2 linked regions of the Saccharomyces cerevisiae S288C genome follow. Each later gene encodes a partner of the first gene's protein in a complex. Each region holds a gene or a part of one and is shown on either strand. Other genes may lie near its edges. The genes, in order: MDY2 and SGT2. A codon is read from its position in the direction of its gene.

Evidence for each region.
Region 2: the proteins of MDY2 (region 1) and SGT2 are in contact, whole or in part, in an NMR structure (PDB 4ASW), measured with the Saccharomyces cerevisiae proteins. Residues at the interface, in NP_014530.1 of Saccharomyces cerevisiae: Gln82 (codon at 1,850), Lys118 (codon at 1,958), Leu120 (codon at 1,964), Gly123 (codon at 1,973), Lys124 (codon at 1,976), Val125 (codon at 1,979), His127 (codon at 1,985), Met147 (codon at 2,045), Lys149 (codon at 2,051), Asn151 (codon at 2,057); in NP_014649.1 of Saccharomyces cerevisiae: Asp28 (codon at 1,465), Gly29 (codon at 1,462), Asp31 (codon at 1,456), Ser32 (codon at 1,453), Asn34 (codon at 1,447), Val35 (codon at 1,444), Asp38 (codon at 1,435), Cys39 (codon at 1,432), Glu42 (codon at 1,423), Arg48 (codon at 1,405).

Annotation. Positions count from the first base shown.
Region 1 is NC_001147.6:107,440-110,502, reverse strand, and holds MDY2 (Mdy2p), read left to right. Parts: upstream 1-1,606; coding exon 1,607-2,245; downstream 2,246-3,063. Other genes in the region: ZEO1 (Zeo1p), read right to left, coding at 1-206; SHR5 (Shr5p), read right to left, coding at 614-1,327; Rab GTPase-activating protein MSB4, read right to left, coding at 2,315-3,063. UniProt on the Saccharomyces cerevisiae protein: Required for efficient mating. Involved in the production of alpha-factor, the KAR9 and TUB1 location to the shmoo tip and nuclear migration into pheromone-induced shmoos.
Region 2 is NC_001147.6:338,433-342,029, forward strand, and holds SGT2 (Sgt2p), read right to left. Parts: upstream 1,547-3,597; coding exon 506-1,546; downstream 1-505. Other genes in the region: ribosome biogenesis protein TSR3, read right to left, coding at 1-189; SLG1 (Slg1p), read right to left, coding at 2,846-3,597. UniProt on the Saccharomyces cerevisiae protein: Co-chaperone that binds to the molecular chaperone Hsp70 (SSA1 and SSA2). Regulates Hsp70 ATPase activity. Required for recovery from heat shock.

The sequences.
Region 1 (3,063 bases):
TTTTGTTCGACACCATCAGCAATGTTTTGTTCTTCCTTCTTCACCTGTTCAGCTTCTGGAGTAGCTTCATTTTTTAGGTTGTCGATAGAAGCTTCAGCTTGTTCCTTTACTTCTTGGCCCTTGTTTTGCAAAGATTCTTTGGTTTCTTCCAACTTTTGTTGGACATCTTGGGCGGCAGTTTCAGCTTTGTTTTGAATTTCAGACATTATTAATTGATATAAACGTAGTTTTGTATGTTTCTTTGATTTGAACTTTTAAGTATACAGAGAAAAAAACCGATCAAAGAAAACTAAAGTATAATGAGGTTAAAAACGAAAGTAATAAAGTAGAAAGGCTATCAAGCAAACTGAGATGATCTTCGACGTAAAAACTCGCTCTATATATATACGCCATATAAGCCCATCGGCGATGGGGGACAACACGAAGAAACAAGAGAAGAGGAGAACCGCACAGAAAGCAGCAGAAACAGAGCAAACCAGCATTAACTAAAGATGATAAAAATAAAATTAGGTAAGAAACCTTAATTGGATATACAAAAATACACTGGAGGCACAAATCGCCATCGATATAAAACACGATAAAGCCCTGGTGCACCCATAAACCACACGTTTAACTATTTGGGTCGGGGCACGACGAAATCTAGGGATAGGCACCCGGACCGTCGGGGCAATACTAGGCGCACACCGCGCTCGTGAAGCAGACCTCCCGGCGAGTTTAGCTGCGCCACGTACTGCTCTAACGCGAGAGACTCCTGAAACACAGGTCTAGAAAGAAGGGGCCCCAAAACCCAGCTCCACAGACCGCCCGTAAGCATATCGAGCAACAGGCCACTTAAGTTACGCCACCCGAACACCTCACCTTCTTCACGCAGCAAGAATCCGTTTACCCGGTGCACAACCTCCGCGAGCTCTGCCGCACTAAGATATTCTGACAGAGGCGAGACGGAGGAGCAGCCAAACACGTGATCCCCAATGTCGTAACGCCCGCACCGCACAAAGCTAGTGCCATCGTCGCCCACGATTGCCGCCGGCTCGCTACCGGGAAGCTGTGTACTAAATTGTGGCGTTTCAAGGCTGCTGCGAGACTCATCGAACCGCCGGGGCACTCGTACCACCCGGGTCACCTGGAACTCGGCAGAGCCCCGAGCAGCATACACATTCGGGAAATGTGTAATACACAATTTGTGGTCTTCGTCGTGCTCTGTGGGTTTAGCGTCTTCGGAACCGAGGTCTTCGTAGAATGAATACGAAAACTCATGGTAATTAAAAAATAACGCCCTTTCGCTCGTATTTGCGTTATCTTCTTCCTTTTGATGGCTATCGCACATCTAGTAAGGGTTAGATTGAGTATTGTCCTCTAATGTAACTTTTTCCTCTTATTCCTCTCCTCCCCTTAGCTATTATATATCTTTTTTACCGAATCTTGAATTAGGAATAGTTTTAAAATCAGGCCGGAGGCCGAGCTTGCGACAACTACGACCAAAAAAAACAAAGGAAAAACGAAAAGAAGAAAACATGCACAGGAGAACATAGTTGGAGAAAAGGGTTAGAACAGACCGATACAGAGATAAACTAGCGAAGAATAATAACTTTATACAAAATTAATCATGAGCACATCCGCCAGCGGTCCAGAACACGAGTTCGTTAGTAAATTCTTGACCTTAGCCACTTTAACTGAACCGAAGCTACCAAAAAGCTATACTAAACCTCTGAAGGATGTTACCAATTTGGGTGTCCCGTTGCCTACTTTGAAGTATAAATATAAGCAGAATCGTGCCAAGAAGTTAAAACTGCACCAAGATCAGCAAGGTCAAGACAACGCCGCCGTCCACTTAACCTTAAAGAAAATTCAAGCTCCCAAGTTCTCCATCGAGCATGATTTCAGCCCATCAGATACTATCTTACAAATAAAACAGCACTTGATCAGCGAGGAAAAGGCCTCCCACATAAGCGAGATAAAACTGCTTTTGAAGGGCAAAGTCCTCCACGATAACCTGTTCTTATCGGATTTGAAGGTCACGCCTGCCAATTCCACAATCACAGTCATGATTAAGCCGAATCCGACTATATCTAAGGAACCCGAAGCCGAGAAATCCACTAACTCCCCTGCTCCTGCTCCTCCACAGGAACTCACTGTGCCCTGGGATGATATCGAGGCTCTTCTGAAGAACAATTTCGAGAACGATCAGGCTGCGGTTAGGCAAGTCATGGAGCGTCTACAAAAAGGCTGGTCTCTGGCCAAATAAGATTAGTATAGTTAGTACGTACATACTTGTTATTTTACACAGTTGCGCTTTTTATCACGGTTGCGCTTACTATTTTCTTCTTTCCTTTGGGCGGCTACTCGCCCTTTGTCTATTTCTCGCCATCGCCACATACTCTCTACCGCGATCAATCTTTTCCTGGGTAATACCATTCAACGCAACCTTCTTCTTCATCAGGACTTTCTCAAAGATATCATTCGGATTGAGCAATCTTTTTGGGAAATTTTGAATCACTTGCAAAATCTCCATATCTGCCTCTTCCTGCGTCTTAATCTTGTTCTTTAATCTTTTGAAAGTTGAATCAGAGTCATTACTACCACCGAAGGTGTACGAAGAGTACTGTCTAAACAGTTTCTGGCTTTTACTCTCCAAAAACTCGCTTTCGCTCAATTTCAGTATCCCCAAAGCCACTTTAAATAAAAAATGAGACTCTTCATAGAATAAACAGTCCCATATTCTCAGGGTCGTTTCGATGGGCACCACGCCCACAAAACAGCTCATAAACCAACTTGCCGTACACAGCGTCAGCGTAGGCAGCCTGCAGAGATATTCTTCCCCCGATGCTGGCCCTGATATCTGGTCAGTGCTGCCATTGCCATTCATATACGATGACTCAATGTGTGACCATATCTCGGGTAAATATTCCTTGATACATAACACCAACACCCCTTGATCCACGTTCGCACCCTCTAAGTCTGATTCATACACGCCAGGTAAATACTTACCGGTAATAATAACCAGCATCCAAAATGCTTTCTCTTCTTCCATGAACAATAATAGCAATCCAACGAGAAAATTCA
Region 2 (3,597 bases), 230 kb from region 1:
ACCACTGCATCTCTTTGGATCGCAATGATCAAAATCCCACATAGCCAGTTTAACAGGAAACTTCATTTTTTCTGAATTATCGTACTTCATTTCCATGCGCCTATGGTTTTGCCTGGAACTGTGCCCATTAGCGCCTCTCTGTGGTCTTCCATTTTTGGGTTCGTGCATCTTATTTTTACCTTTTCCCATTGTTACTGCTTACTCAACTGTCTTACGCGAGAAGTTCTATACAGATTTACATAAAAAGCTTTTCGATAAAGTATTTCAAATAGACATTTACTAGTAAAAATTTTTTTATGTAGTTTCTCATCACATTATATTTTCTAGTCTTCTCCGAAAATCGACGAATTTACCTGAAAAAAAGAAAAAGTAAACTACAGTCCCTATTTAAGTATTTCGCAAGTGATCTCAAAGTAAAAATAAAATTCCTGGTAACACTCATCCTAGATAGAGCTATATTTGTATCTACATAACATGTATTGCATTAAAGGCTTATTTCAGTCCACTATTGCTTGTTCTCATTGTCTGGTGTTTCATCTGTAGATTGGGCACCTGCTCCACCAAAAAGATTGCCTGCCATGTTTCTGAGTGCTGGGTTATTCATCAAGTCAGACAAATTTGGAGTTCCTCCGCCTGAAGCAAAGCCTTCAGCCATCTGTCTGATACTTGGATCTTGCATCATTTTTTGAATATTCTGCATTGCACCTGGATTGCTCATCATTTTTTGCGCAGCCTGCATCAATTGTGGGTTGTTCATTAAACCTCCAAGACCACCTCCTAATAAAGAACCAAGATCTGGCAATCCACCCGCACTAGCACCCTGACTTGCATCGACATCAGCATCCCTTGACTGTTCTGGAACGGTTTTCTCCAGATTCAAAGATTGCTCAACCTTCTTCTTGGCACTTTCATAATCCCTTTTCATAGCTTCTGTTGCATTATCGCCCTCTATATCAAGAACCTTTTTGTATGCTTCAAGGGCTTCTTCGGGTTTACCTTGCGCATATTTAGCAAAACCCAATCTAGAGTAGCCTCTGAAATAAGATGGGTCAATAGAAATTGCAGATTCAGCGTCTTTGACCGCTTGATCATATTCTTTCAGGGATGAATGAGCAGCCGCTCTATTGGCGTAATAAATAGCATTCGTTGGTAAAACTTTAATGGCTTCAGTATATTTATTGATTGCCAGTTCGTAATCCTTGTTGGCCATTGCTTTATTACCTTGCATTTTCAAGTCCTCAGCTTTGGCTTTAGTTTCCGCATCATCTTCTGGAATATTAATCTCGACATTCTCAGCATCGTCTTTCTTATTCGATTCTGGAACTCTTGACGCAGAATTTAATATATCAGCAAGATGTTGACCCTTGAATTCAGACTTGCCTAAAATGCCTGAAACAGCTTCTCTTTCAAAGCCAAAGGCTTCAGAGATACAGTCCATAGCAACATTTAAAGAATCGGCGCCATCTTCTGAAATTTCTTTCTTTTCCACAATGGAAGAAAAGTAGTTTACAATAAGGGCAGCAATTTCTTCTTTTGATGCTGACATCGTACAGTAGATTTGTATTAATAAGATATCACTTGGTCAGAAGCTTCTATTCAGTTGTCCGATTATATCGCTCGTACTCATTTTATATGGTGGCAAAATTTGGGATTAAGCGTAGGGCAATAAAACCTTCTCGGATCTTCCATTTTTTTCGATTGGGAAAATTTTAAGACTTGAAAAAGTTTGGAAAAATACAAAAGAAGGGCTAAGTGTTGTGATTAGAATGTCATGACAATAAGGTTAAAAGCAAATATTATGCCGCCTATAGCCCTTTAAAATAGCATAAAAGACCTTTGTAATTTCTATTCAATGTTAAAAAAAATCTTCCCCGCCAGGACTTGAACCTGGAATCTTCTGGTTCGTAGCCAGACGCCGTGACCATTGGGCCACGAGGAACAGATCTTGAGAAAATTAGAGATATTTATCGATACACGTACTAAAAGCAAATTTCATAGTTTTATTTCCCAATAATGCCCATCATCCATTATTATTATATTCAAATTATTATGCCAGTGTGAAAAAAATGGAATGATCATTCCCATACATATTGATGATTTTCGACATAATTATATGCAATGGTATACGCAATTGTGCAAACATGACAATTTTGTTTTGATTCTTTCATTCCATTTTTTGTAAAGGAATAATATCCCTATATAATATGCCAGAGGTCTTTCCTCGAGGATACAGGAATCCGCAAAATGGAATCAAAATTTTACATCATATATTATAATCACGTCTTCCTCCTTTTTCATGCATTACTACTCACGCATCCTATCACATAATCAATCCTTGCGCTTCAATTTCATTAGATTGAAGAAAATATGAATATAAATTTATTAATCTCCTACTTTATATCGTCTTTCAACGCGGTATTTTTTTAATAATTTCTAGTAAAGTGGTTATTGTCACTAGAAGATAATTAGCTATTAGTTTCATAACAATTTGTTATTTTGAAAATGTATAGTTTTATTAGGTGGTATTCATTTCAAAGAATTAACATGTTTAATGTTTGTTAAATCTATGTAACTAAGTTAAGGTTGGTATTCAAATATATCATAAAAAAATTAATGAGTAGAAAAAAAAATAACTAATCTAATTTTGTTGTTCCTATTTAATGTTCCTCGTTACTTCCAGCTCTCCAGCTCTCAAATTCGAAATGTATGAATTTTTAGAGGATCATCATAATGTGAAAATGGAGATGATTTGGCAAAATGAAATCGGAAAAAGAAAAAATTAATGGGAAGGAACAAGACTTGCTTGGCAATAGTTTAAGAATATAATAATTTTTTTTGGGTTTCTTCAATCAGCTTCGTCTGGATTGACCACTGTTAAAACGTTGTTTTTCCCTCCTGGTCCGCCATTTATGAATGTTCCGTTACTTATTCTCCTTGAGTCGTCGAAAGGGTTAATATCAGTTTGCCCTTTGGTGTGCTCCTCCTCGAAGCTACCTGAAGAGGGCCCGTGATTAGATGAAAATGAAGAGGCGTATAGTTTATCAGGGTACTCAACTGGTTTTATCGCCTCTTGGTATTCCTTTTCCATCCTGTCTTGTTCCCGCTTCATATTAATGTGTCTGACAATCAACAAGATACAAAGAGCAATGGCTACGGCTCCCACTACACCACCTACAACGCCGCCTACAATTGCCCCTACATTGGCTTTCTTTTTATGAGTTTTACTTCCACTCGTAGAGTCAGATCCAGCTGTACCTGTGGCCGATCCTGAATTCTGTGCACTTGCCGTGATGGTGTTCGTGACAAAAATTGTGGAACCGCCCTCAGTGTGAAAAGTAGTGGAATAGATTATCGAAGTGGCGTCCTGTGATTGAGAGCTAGTACTGCTCGTTGCCAAAGTATCCGAAGTTAGCGAGCTTTCTGACGTTACAGTGCTCGAACTCTGTGACGTTGAAATAGAGGCAGCTGCTTGAGTTGACTCGGGGGAATTCTGTACTGTAGAGGAAGACGCCATTGATGATGTAGTTGATGATGTAGTCGATGATGTAGTTGATGTTGTGGAGGACGTTGTTGAAGAAGTTGTGGAAGACGACGCAG